Linked DNA regions of Caenorhabditis elegans. The protein of the gene in region 3 purifies or fractionates together with the protein of the main gene of each other region. This does not show direct contact. Each region holds a gene or a part of one and is shown on either strand. Other genes may lie near its edges.

Region 1 (6,270 bases), on a different chromosome or scaffold from region 3:
CCAATCAAATGTGACGATGATACCCGTCTAACAGAAGAAGATGAAGACATTGAAAACGAGGCAATGAACAATGCCACCTTCGTCAAAGATTCGTTCAATTCTGCCACTATTGTGTTGGACGATTCGCAACCGTCTCCTTCCAACTCAACATTCGTGATCGGTGCAGCTCCAACGTCGGAAGCAGACGGTGTTCCTCCCATCAAGCGAAAGAGTCGTCGAACGGATCTTGGACCGCTCTAAATTCCAAGTTTTGTGTGTGAAAAATATTTAACACACCAATGCCTCCTCCTGTCAACTAATGATTAATTAACTTTTACTGTGAATAATAGTATTCGGGTACTAAATTGTGTCGTTTGACCCCCCATTCTGTCTTAAATAGATGATTTTAAATTAAGTAAACCTATTAGGCATTTTTCTTATCCATTTTTTCTCAAAATGCTTCAATAAAATTGAAAGTTTACACACTTTAATGTCTTCGTTTGGTTTTGCGTACAGCTTTTAGAACGTTCAGTAATTTATTGGGGAAATAAATTGAAAAATTAATTATCACAATAGAAGAAGACTACAATATATCGGAATGCAAATAGATTTATAAACATTTTTTGATTCTTATTCAAGACAAAAATTTTTATTTTCTTGGAATCAGTCCAAATTGCTGTGGTCTCAAAAGTGTAGCGACGACATCCTTCTCGAGTTGATCCATCTCAGAAATCACACTTTCCAGATCATTCTGCGTTTTTCCCGGAGCAGTGATGAGTTCAATATAGTACTTGATTTTTGGCTCAGTACCAGATGCTCGGAGAGTAGTGACACTTCCAGTTTTAAGGAAGAAAGTCACCATTTCCGAGGAAGTCGAGAGTGGAAGAACGGGCTTATTGTCGGGCTTTGAGTTGTCGTATCCGATCGTCAAGTCTCTCACGGATGCCACTTCGGCTTCTCCGATTTTCGTCGGGAACTTCAGATCGGCTCTCAATGTGCTGAAGAGCTTCTTGGTGACCTCCGGAGCCGGTACCATCCAATAAGTGGATCTGACCAAATGGAAGCCATATCGATTGTAGAGAGCGTACAGCTGGTCTTGCAACGATTTTCCCTCCGCGTGAAGGAAAGCGGCGATTTCGGCGAAAACTGCGGCAGCGGACACGCCGTCCTTGTCCATGGTATGCCCTGGCATGTATCCGATCGATTCTTCCCACGCCAGAATGACCTGATTTCCATCGGCACGGAGCTCCTCGGCTCGATTTCCCATCCATTTGAATCCGGTCAGGGTGGTCTCGTTTTTGAAGCCTGAATTTTATAGTTTTTTTTTGTTAATTGTAATTTTAATATTTTATATTCTAAACAGGGCTGCTGCTTTTTTTTTGGCAAAAATTACTTAAAATTCTTCAAAAATGTTGATTTTTAGTCGGTAGAACGAAAAAAATTCGAATTTTTTTTTCAACTAAAATCGAAAAACGAAAGTTTTTCTTTCGATTCTCGATTTTTAAAAAAAGTTTTAAAAGAAAATTGTAGGTTTCTTTATGTAGTTTTTCATCAAAATTTACAAAACTTGGATAAAAATTCGAATATTATTGTTAATTTTCTGATTTTTAAAAAATATAATTAGATTTTCCGGAAAATCGAAAATTTTCGTTTTTCAATGTTTTTCAAAAAAAAAACTCGGCTTCTTTTTCGTATTTATCAAAATCTTGCAAGATTGTTTTTAAAAATTAGGAAAAAACTAAAACCATGCGGCGAAATTGCGAAATGGCGTGCCGCGGACACGCAATTCCGCGGTACGCGGTTTTGCAACATTGCCGCACGGTTTAATTTCAGCATTTTTTTGAAAAAATTGTATCTTTTTCATCAAAAAGCAAATTTTTCTCTTTCGAAATTAAATTTCACCTTCTGCATCAGCAATTGTCTTGACAATTTGTGAGGACACAGCACTATTCAGAATGTATACTTTTGATGCATCAGCATTCGGATTCGCTTTTCTCCAGTTTGTCCAAATCCACCAAGTGATGAGAGCGCCCATCTCATTACCAGTGAACACACGCCATTCGCCGCTGAAAATTGAATTTTTTTGAAAATAAAATTTTTTAAAATATATATTTTGGAAATTCAAAAAACTTACTCTTTCTGCTTCTCGGCCATTTGAATTCTGTCGGCGTCTGGATCGTTGGCTAAAATAACTGTCGATCCATTTTTATCGGCAGTTTCCATCGCCAGCGTGAGCACTTTTCGTCCTTCTTCTGGATTTGGGAATGGAATTGTTGGAAAATCTGGGTTTGGATCTTGTTGCTCGGCCACCGAAATGAACGATGAAGCTGGGAATCCAAATTCGGCGAACATTCGTTTTGTGTAGTGATAGCCGATTCCATGGAACGCGGAATACGTGAATTTCAGCGGAGTTGAGCCATTGATTTCTCTGAAAATATTATTGGATTTACCTTTTTTTAAACGATTTTTTAAAATTTCTACAAACCTAGTGAAGTTCAACGATTTCTCAACTTCAAAATACGGGTCAATTACAACATCAGCTGAATGGAAAAGTGGCGAAGATTTGAGTTCACTCAAGTCCCAGTACTCATCTCTCGGCTGTGGCTCGGCCTCTTTGATTCTAACAATTTCCGTGTCATGTGGTCCAATGATCTGCAAAAAAAACCTTTTCTTTTTTAATCTTAAAAAGAATTAAATCTTAAATATTGATCTATTTACCTGAGCTCCATTGCTCCAGTACGCCTTATATCCATTGTCTTCCTTTGGATTATGTGATGCAGTAATAATAAGTCCAGCATCACATCCCAGCTTAATCGTTGCCCACGAGACAACAGGAGTTGGAGAGACTTCAGAGAAAAGATAAACTGGAATATTGTTACGAACAAAGACGTTCGCCGAGAGCTCTGCGAAACGTCGACTGTTGTAACGTCCATCAAATCCGATGGCGACTCCGTTCTTCGGTTGTCCATAGACGTTCAGCATGTGTCGAGCGAATCCGTGCGTGATTTGGATGATTGTAAGATCGTTGAGGCGTCCAAATCCAGCTTGCATTGGAGAACGGACACCTGGAAAAAATACGTTTATATTTTGAGCTGTACTTTTGAATCTCTACTGTTCTCCTGTTAATATCACCCAGCTTCTTCAGAGTGTAGACAGTGGAGAGACGCAGAGATGTGGGGACCGTGTGATACGGGAACACAAATCTTTGAGAATGCGCATTGCGCAAAATATCTCGTAGCGAAAACTACAGTAATTCTTTAAACTAGTGTAGCGCTTGTGTAGATTTATGGGCTCACTTGGTGTCTGGCTGTCCCAATATAGCTTGATCTACAAAAAATGCGGGAATTTTTTACCAGAAAAATGTGGCGCCAGCACGCTCTTAACCATGCGAATTCGGCTAAGAACTCTGCGTCTCTTCTCCCGCATTTTTTGTAGATCAAAGCGAAATGGGACTTTCTGACTCCACGTGTGGGCTCGGTTTTCGAGAATAAATGTTTTTCGAATAGCGACAGATACAGATTGTTTCGAAAATTGACTACAGTAGCCATTAAAAGAATTATTGTAGCTTTCGCTATGAGATATTTTGCGCGTCAAATAAGTTGCGCAATATGCATTCCCGTAATAATGAAGATTCACACTCTGTAAATCTACACAATTTCGGGTCTTCCTCCCTTTGTCCCAATATAGCTGCGTTTCTTCCACCGTTTACACACTGCAGCTGTGTAATATTATTTTCTTCTCACCAGCAGTTCCAAAAACCAATCGAGTATCCATACGAGCTTTCAATGCATCAACGTTCTTCTCATCAACCAGCTTTTGAATTTCATTACGATTCTTATCATTCTTATCCCAAGCGAGCCAATCGGCAACTTGCTTGTCAAGCTTTGCACATCCAAGAGTCATTCTGAAAATTAGAAAGTGCTTAAATTTTGCAATAAAATTGTGGAAAAGACAACAAAAGTTTTAAAAAATCGAAATTTTGCAGATAAGGACACTAATACCACAATTATTCCGACATGTGTGGATGAGAAAAGGCCAGGTAAATGACCTTGCCGTTTCTCTATTTCTCTGCGAGTAACCCACTATCCCTAGATTTGGAAAAGAGATAAAATCAACAATAATTGATGGAGGTATTGTGGAAACTGTGAAAAAGACAGTATCGGGTTTCAGTAAATATTTAATTTTCGAATTTAGGTGAATGTTGAATGCAAAAAGAATTAACAAAAACGTCCAAAAAATATTTCTAGGCACAAAAACCGTTGAAAATTACATAAGTTAGATAAGTGGAATGTTTAATTCTTGCAGAAACCGATCAGCATGAAAAATCTGAAAATTAAACAGAAGATTGATAAAATACTTAAACATCAAAAAAAAATCGGTGATAATGTTCTCGGTTTTCAGTTTTCAGATGATGATAACAAATAATAATACACGCTTTGATAAGAAATCATTCGGAAAAAAAATGATCGGCGAGAAAAAATAGAGAAAAATATCGTTAGAAATAGGTTTTCTCGAGTTGTGATGGAAGACGTTCGGTAGTTTTCGATGAGATGAAGGCGCGAACTTCTTCAGGCGATGGAACGTAGTCGTCGACATTCATCTCACTCAGCTTTACCCATTGGTTCACGAAGAGTGCTGAAAATCAATTTTATTTCATTTTTGACTCTTTTTGATTTTTTCCCAACATTTCCAGGATCTCAGTGTTCCATCCAAGCTCGTCGACGAGATGACTGATCCCATGAGATTATATCGAAGCCTCCATGCTTTTCGATGATCCCCGAGCAGTGCCACCTTGATCAGATTGTAATCCGCCAGCTGAATCGGATTCTCGACACCGTCTTCTTCGAGAATCGCCGAACGAGCCACTTTGATGTTGTAGACGTGAACATCGCCTGATGCAACGGCTAATTGATGCGAATCCACCATCGATATCGGCGAGAATCTGAACATTTTAAATATTATAGTTAAAATAGCGGAAATTTTTTTTTGAAATTTTCAGACAAAAAATTGATAAAATAGCGGATTTTTCAAGAAAATTCGATTTTTTTTGAAATTTTTAGACAAAAATTATTAAAATAGCGAATTTTTCAAGAAAATTCCAATAATTTTTGGAATTTTCAGACAAAAAATTGATAAAACTGCGGACTTTTCCAGAAAATTCAATTTTTTTTGTTGGAATTTTTAGACAAAAAATTGTTAAAATAGCGGATTTTTCAAGAAAATTTTAAATATTTTTTGAATTTTGTTAAAATAGCGGAATTTTCAGAACATTTCAATTATTTTTAAAATTTTCAGGCAAAAAATTGATAAAATTGCGGATTTTTCAAGAAAATACGATTGTTTTTGAAATTTTTAGACACAAATCCGATAAATATCGGATTTTAGAAAATTCGATTATTTTTTGGAATTTCTAGACAAAAAATTATTCAAAGAGCGGATTTTTTAATACTGAAAAATCTGCTATTTTCAATGGAAAGGCAAGCGCGCTGTAATAATTATTCGGCTCCGAGGAGAGCGTGTTCTTCCTACTTCAAATCAGTAATCGGGCATGGTAGATCGAAGACTAATGAGTTGATTCGCTGCCATTTCCTCAATCCATCAATATTCTCATAGATCACAACTCGTTTCTTGTTCTCTGCCTTCTTCTCATCCGAACCAACAGCAATCAACGGGCGGTGCATACGAGAAAGTGACCATGTGACACATCCACATCGGGTATGAAACGCTTGAAGCTCGTGAATAAGATTCCATCGAGAAGCGTCCACAATATCCGGTGCTTCGTAGATTCTGACGGTTCCGAGAACGTTGCATGATGCCATCATGAGACCCAGATGGCGCGGGGAGAAGCAGATATCGGTGACGTCTGAACGATTATCGGAGATGATTGTTCTTCGGATCCATTGGGATTCTTTTTGCTCTGAGAGATACATAATGTTTTGGATTATATTTAGAGCGAATTATACTCACTCAGATCTTTCTCTGATCTCACAATTTGCTCCTCCCAAATTACAATCGTTCTGTCGTAGGAGCAGGTGCTGAAAATCAATCAATAAAGTATATTCGGGTGACAGTTTCTAGTTTCTTACGCAACAATCTGCCCAAATTCCGGATGAGCCCAAATAACGCGCCAAACTGCTCCACCATGACACTGAAATGAGGAAAATTATTTTATTTTCTGAAATTTCTTTTCTACCTTCCAGTGTGCAGATCTACGCCAATTTCCGTCTGGCTTTCGATCCCAAATCGCCATTGTCATATCGCTGGCACATGTTGCCATTCGTCGGCCATGAG
Region 2 (6,331 bases), on a different chromosome or scaffold from region 3:
AAAATATAGATATTATGGGAACAAAAAATTCTGAAAATGCGTACTGCACAACATATTTGACGTGCAAAATATCTCGTAGCGAAAACTACAGTAATTCTTTGAATGATTACTGTAGCGCTTGTGTCGATTCACGAGCTCTATATTTATCGACTGAATAACAAATTTGAGAAAAAAAATTTGAGAAAATCTAGGGAAAATAAATTATTTAATATCGAAAATCGAGCCCGTAAATCGACACAAGCCCTACAGTAGTCATTCAAAGACTTACTGTAGTTTTCGCTACGAGATATTTTACGCAATACACATTCTCAGATTTTTGTGCTCCCGAAATATCGTAATTTTGCTAAAAATTGGCAATTTCAAAAGCACATGGGATTTTTTGAGTGGGTCTCGTCACGATCTCAGTCATAGAGATCGCTACAAATGCCAAAGTTCACAGATTTGTTAATTTTCATCTAGACTTTTTTTCAAGTTTAATAGTATTGGAGAAATAAATATTTGGATTCAGAATTGTTCATTTCTCTAAAAATAGTTTAAAATACAATACAAAATTCTTTCAAAAAAAAGCAAAATTATTTCTTGACGACCGCTTCGAGTTGTTTCTGAAGTGCATTTCGATGAGTTTCCCCGTTCCAGACGGCTTCCAGCACTTGTTTTTGCTCCGTTTTTCCTATTTTTACAGCGTTCAGCATAGCTTTCTGGGCTCTTGTCACTTTCAAACCAGCGCTAGCCACTTGGTTGATGAAGTTCTGAAAACATATTTCAATGTATTATAGCAATGGCGCTCCACGGCGAGGTAAAAATGCTCCGCCCCCAAACGTTGGGTCTCGTTAGGTATTGACTTTTTTCTTGCATACTTTTTCCGTTTTAAACATGTTTTTCATAATAATGGAAGAAACGGAAATTAATTTTAAGAAAAGACGAGAATAATTGAAAATGTTCGAATACCTAACGAGACCCAACGTTTAGAGGCGGAGCCTTTTCATTTGCCAGTGGAGCGCGAATGCACCTCGATTTTATGGGATTTCTAGGCGACAAATGACGTCACAGTTCCGTACCTCAGCTTCATCTTCACTTTTGTACACATAATCCACATATCCTTGATCCTTTGCTTCCTCAGCTGACATAACATTTGCCCGTCCCATTGCAGCTAATGCTCGTCCTCTACCCATAATTCCCTCCATATATTCGGCACCTCCCCACGACGGAACAATTCCCATTTTCGATTGAAAAAATGCGATTTTCGAGCCAGAATGAGCAATTCGAATGTCGGTCGACGAGCAAATTTCGGTGGCTCCGCCGAGTGCGTGGCCATGGATTTTCGCAATTGAAATAGCTGGTGATGAGTGGAGAAGTGAAAGAATTGATGACATGTACTCGAACATTTGGACGCCAAGCTTTTGGTCCGAAATCTGAAATTTAAACATTTGAAAGTTGGAATTTAAAAATTGGAATTTCATTACATCTTTGATAAGACCCAAATCAGCACCCGAGCAGAACGATTTTCCAACTCCCGAAACAACGATAATTGCGTTTTGATCATCGGAAAATAGCTGAAAAGTGATATTTCAGGCATTTTTACTACGGTCTCGCAACGAAAAAAATAATTTCAAATACGACTGCGCAAAAACATGTGTGTTTTAAAGTACAGTAACCCACTATATTGTGAAAATTTATAAAATTTAGCGAAAATTTATTTGCCTACTGTAAATAGCGCTTGTGTCGATTTACGGGGCTGATTTTCGAAATGAATTTTTTTCCGAGTAGCGACAGCGATATTCCATTTTCCTTCGTTCCAATATATTCTTTCAATAAATAAATTATTTCGATTCGTTTCGAAAATCAAGCCCGTAAATCTACACATGCGCTAAATACAGTAGGCGTCAAATATGTCGCGCAATACGCATTCTCGAAAGTTTTTGTTCCAGTAATAGTTGTACCTTCGAATATTCCAATATAATTGTGTAATTTAAATTTAATAATTTTTGATCTTCCCGTGAGAGCGTGTAAAATTAAAAAAAAAGGAATTTTTAAATAAATGAAATTGAGAGAGGCCGTGTAAAGCCGTGTAAATACGTGATGTTAAAACGGAATCAGATTTTTCAAAAAAATGAAGCAAGAGGATTGCAGAAGCAAGAGGATTGCAGAGCAAGTAGGACACGATGCGGTGCCAGTGAAAAAAGTTCCTTGGGAAGAGCAACAGTTGATGAAGAAAGTGAAGCGTCTGCAATCGGAGAACGAAAAGTTGAAGGTGCAGCTGGATGATATGGTGGATTGTTTTGTGGAAACGAAGGAGGCTCTTGAGAAGGAAAAACGTGTGACGGACTTCCTGAAAAAGGCGATTTCCGATCTCAAAACTCTTCCGATTGAATGTGAGATTTGTGCAGTACAATATGGGGATTCTGGAATGACCGTGCCTCGTGTTCTGCGTAAGTCTGCCAATGCAACTCATAAAATAATGATATTATTCTTATCATATTCAGCGTGTGGCCACACAATTTGCACCGAATGCGCTGGAAATATTATCCAAAACAAGATGATCCGTTGTCCATTCGATAGAAAAGTGTACAAGTTCAATAACAAGACGATCGAGAATCTGCCCAAGAATTTTTCTCTCATAAATCAGTAGAAATTCGAATAAATGATTTGAAAAATACTGTGTAGATTGATTCTGATTCTGAGATTCTTAAGGTCTTCGCGCAAAACTACAGTAACCGGTATCACAATAATTTCAAGTTCAGCCTGCGTAAAAACATGCGTGACAATTAAATTAGTACAGTAATCACGGGGTTCTGGCCTTTATCATTGAATTTTCGCGCTCCATTGACAATCGCCTGCCGGACAACGTGTGGAAAAGTGCCGTGTACTCCACACGGGCAAATACATCAATTTTACAACTAAAAACGAGCCGCGACGCGACACGCAACGCGCCGTAAATCTACATAAAATCTCTTCGACCCAAAATGGCCTAGTTCGGCAAACTCTGCCATTTCGATTTATGAGGGAAGCCAGAATTCCGTGATAATAATTTACCATATTGTTTCAAATTTTTTCTATTACGGGAACACAAAATTCTGAGAATGCGCATTGCGCAACATATCTCTTAGCGAAAACTACAGTAATTCTTTAAATGACTACTGCTGCCATTGTGTCGATTTACGGACTTGATTTTCGAAATGAATTTCTTTAAGACATCGATATTCCATTCTCATCTGTTTCCTCGTAATATTTGCTAGTTTTTTCTCAAATTTATTATTCAATCGATAAATAAATAATTTAAATTCATTTTGTAAAAAGAGCTCGTAAATCGACACAAGCCCTACAGTAGTCATGTCATTTACACGTGGTGTGAGAGTGTCCCATTTCGGTTTGATCTACGTAGATCTCGAAAATTTCGAGAATTTAGATGCAGACTTCTCAACTAGTGGTTAAGAACGTGCTGACGTCACATTTTTTGGGGTAAAAAATTCCCACTTTTCTTGTAGATCAAACAGTTATGAGACAGCCTGACACCACGTGCATTTGAAGAATTACTGTAGTTTTCGTTATGAGATATTTTGCGCGTCAAATATGTTGTACAATACGCATTCTCGGAATTTTGTGTTCCAGTAATATACTCAAGCATTTAGTATTAAAAAGTGCTGGAGAAATCGGTTGCTGCACTTCTTAAAGGCGCACACTGTTTTGCTCGGTCTCTACCTCTAATGCATCAAATTTCACGCGCAAATTCAAAAACTTGCCTCAGTGTGCTCTCCAAACTGCTTCATCATTTCTCCAGACAAACAATTATTCTTTTCCGGGCGGTCCAGAATTACGTCAAGTCTTGTTTTCAGCTTCTCGTTTCGCTGAACTCGAATCGCACCGCCTTGCCATGATTTAAAGACTTCCAGCAGTGCTGCGGATGGTCTAACCTGAAAAAATTCAATTCTAAAGGCACATAGTCGTGAATCACGCAATATTCAAATTTCGAAGAACATACCACTTTTCCAGACATTTTTGTCGCTCAGTTGCCCTGAAAAATTAGAAAAATCTTTTTATTTTTAGGTTATAAGCGGTTAGTGAGAAGAATAAGAATATATTTTCCCTATTTTTGAGTCACAAGTCGAAGCCCCGCCACCAAACGCAGGGTCTCATTAGGTATTGGCGGAAAAACAAGAAATTCAATAGTTTTCTTGACAGTTTTAGAATCCAAAAAACCGGTGCAAAATTTCATTTTCCTACAATTTTTGTACAAAAAACCGTACAACAAAGACCCCGCCCCTAAAATAGGCGGGGCTATGAACCATTTTGTGGGCGTGTCTGGCGGTAGATTTTACAACAAAAAAGTATGACGTGAATCGAGGAATCTACGAATATTTATTGCATCAATTGAAAAATCAATCTATCATCGCTTCTTGGCAATAGAGATAAAGTTGCAAAATTTCAAAATCTAAAAAAAGGAAGGATGGAAAATAATTTAATTTATTGCTATGAAACACGAGCGCTTAAAATGGGAGAGCCGGGGGGGGGAGGGGGAGTCAATAAATAAATATATAAAATTCAAATAATTAAATAGGACACAGAAGCGTGCGTTTTGCAAAATAAATTTTTGGGTGGAAAGAATGAAACAAAAAATGCCGCTAGAGACTGGAAGACGCAGAGATAGAGATAGGGGGAAAACATCACTGATCTGACGAAAATTTGGCCGAATCTGAAGAATTTTGGGGGGTACATTGTATCTAGAGAGCATGAAAAATTATGACAATTCGACCGAAGAAAAAGGCAATTTACTGGAATATATATTCTAATCAAGGGTGACGTCGAAAAATTCTGATTTTTCGGTATTTTGGGGTAATTGAAAAATCGAGAAAAAAAATCGATTTTTCCGAATTTTTCAATGCAAAAAAACGACACATTTGATTGCAATATACTTTGACTATTCAAAAATTTTGAAAAAAAAAGGTTAAAAAGGAATACTAAGTGATTTCAAATTGGAGTGGCACCTGGATTTCGCTATTTGATTAGTTTTGCACAATCTACTGGAAATTCTAAAATTGGAGAATCTTGGGGGATATCAAGAAATAGAAATAGGCTATCATTTTGTTTTTACATTAAAAAAAAATAAATCAGGGAATGTTACGAGAGAGATAGAGAGAAATAGACGACTAGACTATAATCCAAATGGATCGGCTGAGGCGGCCTGGGCCTGTTGAGCTTGTGCAGCGTTCTTTGCAGCCATCGCTGCATGAACCAATTGAATTTGGTGTTGCTGTTGTGGTGGAACAGGTTGTCCGTATCCATATTGTTGACCGTATGCTGCTGCAAAAAAAATAAGATTTTGAAAATCTACCGAAATATAGTGCCAGACACGCCCACAAAATGGTTGAATTCCTATTCTAGGCGTGGGGCTTTTTTGTTTTTGTTTGGTATTATTTAGACCAAAAAATAAACCAAAAACTGCTCACTTTCTCGCGGTTTTTTAATAAATTTAAGTATAAATTTTTTTTGTTGGTTTTTTGGCCCGAAATCCAACCCAAAAATGTTTTGCTATTTTTTGTCCAAAATTATTTTTCCGCTTATCCAAAAATTGCTGGAATATGAAATGTTCCACCGATTTTTCGATTTTAAATAAAACTGAATTTTTTCCAGAGGTTTAAATTTTATATTTTAGTATAAAATAGGTGTATGAGCATATTTCGAAAATGAAGCAAAAATTAACAAAAAATGCTTCAAAATCGATTTTCACATTTAAAATAATCTTGAAATATTGTGAAAAATTAGATAAAAATTCAATTGTTCCGAGATTCTAATTTTAAAAAAATTCCTCGTTTTTTCGATAAACTAACCCATCGCAGGATTCCACATTGGCTGAGCACCAAATGGTTGTTGATACATTCCCATTGGAGCCGTATACATTGGCTGAGGAGCCGACGTTGCTCCAAACGGATTGTTTGAGACGGCAGAAGTTGTGGTATTCCAGCCGGCCGGTGCTCTGTAACTAAGATATTTTTAGGCAAGATTTTTCGATTTTCTTTAGAAATTGTGAAATTTTGTAAAAGGTAATATGTATAATCTAGCCCTAGTGGTTCGTTCGTGTCGTGAGTCACGAAAAAAATTGCAACAAAAATTGCATTAAAATTGACAAAAATAATCCTACCCCTGCTGATTCAATGACATTTGTGCAGTCATTCGAGCAAGATCATCTGGATGAGCATTTGGATATCCGAATGGAGCAGCTTGATGACCTGGAATTAATATTTTAATTTTTACATTTTTTTGTTCAAATTTGAAGTCATCTGAAATGTGGGGTGGTTATGAAAAACTGTAAAACTGTATTAATGTTGAAGTAGAG
Region 3 (4,689 bases):
GTCACCTCATTGGTGGCCCCAGTGATGGCGTCTCGTGCGCTGTCCGAGGGAAAAACTGTGACCTATACGAGAAAATTGATGGAAGGAGCCAGTCTACTGGGAATCGCATTCTGTTTGATGCTAGTACCAATGACATCATCGTTCTGGATATCATTGATCATATTCACTATGGCAATGGCTGCCAGAGGGCTACACCACGGTGGTGTTTCCGTAAATCCACACGATTTTGCACCAAATCATGCGGGATCTGTTTTTGGTAAGGGTAGACTTCTTCTGAACATGAGCACGAAAGTTTTTTCTGATTGCCAAAAATATCAAACTTTGCATTTCTAGCAAATTGCTGATTTGGCGAAAAAATATTTTTTTAGATCCGGAATCCCACCAGATTGATGCCTGAAAAAAACAAAAAAGAAGTTATATTAAAATAACCATTTTTCAGGAGTTTTCAATGCCTGCGGCGCCATCACCGGATTCGTCGGTGTCTACATTGCTGGTCACATCCTGGAAGCCACGAATAACAACTGGTCGTACGTGTTCGTTGTGACGGCGGCTCAGTGTGTTGTTGGAGCTATGGTTTATACACTTCTGGGCACTGGACAGAAGATTATTTAATTATTTGTTTCATGTGCATTAACTTTTTTTTCAAAAATTCTTGAAGTGAATCCGAAGATTTACTTTTGAAAAATAGTTTTCTTCTTCTTCTTTATTCTTGTTTCATAATTTTTGTTATCGGTCTTTTCTTCTTCTTCTCATTTCCCCTCTGAACTATAAACTTGCCTCTTCTCATTTTTCTTCCCCCACCCCTCTTCGAATTGTCTGTGTTCACCCTTCCCCACACCCACTCAATTTTCAGTGATTCATAGTTTATCCGGGTTTTTGAAGTCTTTTCATTGTACGAAATGTGTAATATTCATGTCTTTTTTAAATAAATTTATTTATTTTCCAAAACAACATTTTTTGGAATGAAACATTTTCACACAATATGAAATTCGAAAGTTTAAATTCCTAGGTATTCTTTGGCAATCTTGATGGAATCGTCGAGGTTCAACTGTTTCATGTTGGCGGCGTTATCACGGAGCTCGGCGTAGAGGGCGGTTGAACTGAAATAGCCAAGTATTGGGCGGGGCTTATTTTGAAATATTTAATATCTGAGACAAAGATTCCCGAGAAAGTTTTATATTTTCAAATTATAGAAACAACATTTACCCAATGTGACCAAAATTGAGCCCCGCCCAATTCTTGGCTTTCGAATTTTCTTGAACTTTTTCAATTTTTCGGGTTTTTACAGTTTTTGGGAAGGTCTATTTGGAGTTTAATTTCATTGTTAAATTATTACTTTCGAGGTTGGAGGCAGGCGTCAGGTCCTGAAACCGCGCCTACCGCCCATGAAAGCCCTACATTTTTTTCATGGAAAAAACTGAAAATTCTGCAATAATATTGAATATAAAACTTACAGATAGCGTTCTCCAAAACTGTTAACTGTGGTGACAATTAGTTTCCCCTTATTCTCCGGTCGCTTGGCCAACTGAACTGCAGCGCACACGTTGGCTCCAGACGAGATTCCACCCAAAATCGACTCCTCGTCGGCAAGCTTCTTGGCCATTGCAATAGCATCATCGGAATGAACTCGCAGAGCCTCGGAGAAAAGGGTCAAGTCGAGGATGTCAGGAATCATTCCGGTTCCCATGCCTGGAAATAGAAAATATAACCGTTTTTGACATGGTGCATCGACTTTTTTTTGTTTGATTTACAATTCCCCAGCCCCGAAAATTTGGAAAAAAAATGCTCACCTTGAATTTTGTGTGGGCTATGTGGAAGTCCATTGATCACAGAACTCTCAAATGGCTCAACTGGGAACACTTGAACACTTGGGTTCTTCTCCTTCAAGAATCGTCCGACTCCAGTGCAAGTTCCACCTGATCCAACTCCGAAGCATACGATATCAACCTTGCCCTGTGTCTGCCTCCAAATTTCTGGTCCTGTAGTCTTATAATGGGCTTCTGGATTTGCTGGATTTCCGAATTGGTTCAAGATATACGCATTTGGAATCACATCGCGAAGCTCTTCGGCTCTTTGGACAGCTCCTTTGACCGCGGTCGCTGGATCGGTAAGAATCACCTCAGCACCGTAGGCCTTTAACAGACACCTTCTCTCAATACTCATCGACGCTGGCATCGTAAGAATAACTTTGTACCCACGAAGTTTTCCGCAGTAGGCCAACGCAATTCCCATGTTTCCACTGGTTGGCTCAATGAGCACAGTTTTGCCGGGGGTGATGAGCCCGGCCTTCTCAGCTGTGTCGATCATGTTGAACGCGATACGATCCTTGACCGAGCAGGCAGGGTTCATGTACTCTACCTTGACGGCAATCGATGCACCGAGATCCTTTCCGATCTTGTTGAGCTTCAGGAGTGGGGTGTTTCCGATGAGCTCACCACCGGTTTCGACCATAAGTTCGCGGGACATGATGAGTTGATTGGCAGAGGATAACTAATACTCTGAAAAAAAAAATGGAATAAGAGTTTTAAAAAGATTTTTCGCAGGAATTCAAATAAAGGGAGTAATTAAATCCACTACACTATAATGTTGCAAAAAGACGAACTTTTCAACAAAAAGCGTAATAAAAAAGAATAAGAACAAAATTAACGAAAAGATATAACGATAGTGATAAGAAATGAAGACCAATCAGGTAGAAAACAATAATACGTGCGAGATGAGTAAACGATAAGGGCGGGCGGCAGTTATTGTCATCATTTTTCTTGGTATCAAAGTAATTTGATCTATTGGTAGACGCGGAAGATCAAATTGATATTACGGGAACACAAAATTCTGAAAATGCGTTTTGCACACCATATTTGACGCACAAAATATCACGTAGCGAAAACTATTCTTTCAGTGATTACTGTAGTGATGGTGTCGATTTACGGGCACGATTTTCGGAATGAGTTAAAATAATTTATTTATGAACAGAATTTCAAAAATCGAGCCCGTAAATGCGCATTCTCAGAACTGTGTTCCCGTAATACAAACCTTTGAAAATTAGTTATACATATTATTTTATTTCGATTTACGATTGAGTAGGGCATCCATGGTAAGCAGGCTCGGTTTCAGGGCTTGACGCCTGCCTTTTTAAAGCCTAAATGGAATCCCTATCTTTAATAAAGCTGATAAAAATAGTGTGCGCCTTTACTAATAGAAGTCTAATTGTAAGATGATCGAATTTAACAATTAAAATATCCGAGATTTTTGAAATTTTCAAAAAAATTATTTAGTTTCTTTTACTGTAAATACCCTAAAATTTATCTGAAACTTGTGAACTTTCACTACTGGAATTCTGGATGGTTTCTATGAAAAAAAGACGGTCCAATTAAAATCATTTTTCGCCGGGAACACATTAGTAAAGTACTTTCACACTTGAGGTAACAATTTCTACAAAAAAGTGCAAAACCAGAAGACATGTTTCATCAGATTCCAAACTTCACCTTTTATACTTCCATCCGCTGTGAAATGAACGTGTGTTTTTGGACTATAAGCACCGCCCATATTTGCTCCATATGATGAGAACTAGGAAATCATCACTTGAAAACATTTGATTGGGTGTCTGTGTCTCAAATAGTCTGTTCTATGATCTGAACTGCTAATCGAGAGGATGATAAGATCAAAGTGAGTACGTGACATATTGAAGATTGTTTTATGGAATTTTATTATTTCTGAAAGGGGGAACACCAGAAGACATGTGCATCTGGAAACATGTGCACCTATTCTGAAATATTTTAGGTGAATATATTTTCAAGAACCCAACTGAAGGCCGATAGAATAGCTCCAGAAGCGGATTCTTGCAATTTTTCTTTTCAGAGCTCTTTAGAGGTAGGAATCAGAGGTGGGCGGCCATTGCCGTTTGGCAAGCTTTTCTCCGCAAATTTGGCAAGTCAACAAAATGCCGGTTTCCCAATTTGCCGGAATTTCTCAATTCCCGCAAATTGCCGGATGTCAATTTGCCGGAAGTGTGTTTTTTAAGACGGAAATACTTAAAACTGAGCCATTTTGAAAATTAATATTATTTTCATAGAATTTGCTTACTTTTCAGAATAGATGTAGGAGCATTCATGATAAGTACAATTTTGCCGATTAAAAGAGAAATTCTGAAATTTCCCGAAAAAGTGTGCTAAACCACAATTTGCCGAAAATTTCTGCAATTGCCGTTTTTCGGCAAATAGATCCGGTTTGCCGATTTGCCGGAAATTGTCATTTTCTGCAAATTACCTATTTGTCGTTTGTCGGAAAAAAACGGTTTCCGCCCACCCCTGGTAAAAAATACAATCTGAAAGTTAAAAAAAAAACATCTTAAAATTCTTACAGCCAACCCAATCGTAAAAATTCAGATAAAAAACATTTAACAATCTTTCATAATACTCCCATACTTGCATAAAATTATCTTAAATTCAACAATTTTTCGGCGAAAATACGTTACCCGGTCTCGCCACATCAATTTTTGTTAAATTCGAAAAGGTGTGCGCCTTTAAAGAGTACTGTAATTTCAATTTTCAATCGATTTTACATTTTTTTACGGTTTGTTGAGATTTTAATAAACAAAAAATTATCAAACTCTGAAAAATTGACGAAAATTCCGCGTCAACGAAAGTTTGAGACTACAGTACTCTTTAAGAGCTCGCCCTTTATCTTTTGTAA

The links. Proteins that work in one complex are often made in the same cells at the same time.
Region 1: the proteins of cysl-2 (region 3) and pgm-2 fractionate together in Caenorhabditis elegans (co-fractionation; one large-scale study listed by BioGRID). This does not show direct contact.
Region 2: the proteins of cysl-2 (region 3) and C32E8.9 fractionate together in Caenorhabditis elegans (co-fractionation; one large-scale study listed by BioGRID). This does not show direct contact.

Annotation. Positions count from the first base shown.
Region 1 is NC_003281.10:13,296,991-13,303,260, reverse strand, and holds pgm-2 (Phosphoglucomutase-2), read right to left. Parts: upstream 3,884-6,270; 5' UTR 3,883-3,883; coding exon 3,723-3,882; intron 3,045-3,722; coding exon 2,698-3,044; intron 2,632-2,697; coding exon 2,465-2,631; intron 2,408-2,464; coding exon 2,114-2,407; intron 2,046-2,113; coding exon 1,882-2,045; intron 1,285-1,881; coding exon 629-1,284; 3' UTR 501-628; downstream 1-500. Other genes in the region: Kinesin-like protein klp-19, read left to right, coding at 1-240; npp-18 (Nucleoporin SEH1), read right to left, coding at 4,475-4,614, 4,665-4,921, 5,509-5,896, 5,947-6,014, 6,066-6,127, 6,173-6,270.
Region 2 is NC_003279.8:3,794,056-3,800,386, forward strand, and holds C32E8.9 (Ethylmalonyl-CoA decarboxylase), read right to left. Parts: upstream 4,014-6,331; 5' UTR 3,995-4,013; coding exon 3,980-3,994; intron 3,912-3,979; coding exon 3,741-3,911; intron 2,660-3,740; exon of another isoform or gene 2,630-2,659; coding exon of another isoform or gene 2,484-2,629; intron 2,430-2,483; coding exon of another isoform or gene 2,111-2,429; exon of another isoform or gene 2,104-2,110; intron 1,554-2,103; coding exon 1,464-1,553; intron 1,413-1,463; coding exon 1,059-1,412; intron 750-1,058; coding exon 573-749; 3' UTR 501-572; downstream 1-500. Other genes in the region: C32E8.1 (RING-type domain-containing protein), read left to right, coding at 2,111-2,429, 2,484-2,629; Phosphatidylinositol-binding clathrin assembly protein unc-11, read right to left, coding at 5,150-5,298, 5,826-5,977, 6,137-6,224.
Region 3 is NC_003280.10:14,491,954-14,496,642, forward strand, and holds cysl-2 (Bifunctional L-3-cyanoalanine synthase/cysteine synthase), read right to left. Parts: upstream 2,499-4,689; 5' UTR 2,467-2,498; coding exon 1,791-2,466; intron 1,690-1,790; coding exon 1,455-1,689; intron 1,101-1,454; coding exon 998-1,100; 3' UTR 921-997; downstream 1-920. Other genes in the region: vnut-1 (Major facilitator superfamily (MFS) profile domain-containing protein), read left to right, coding at 1-256, 440-612.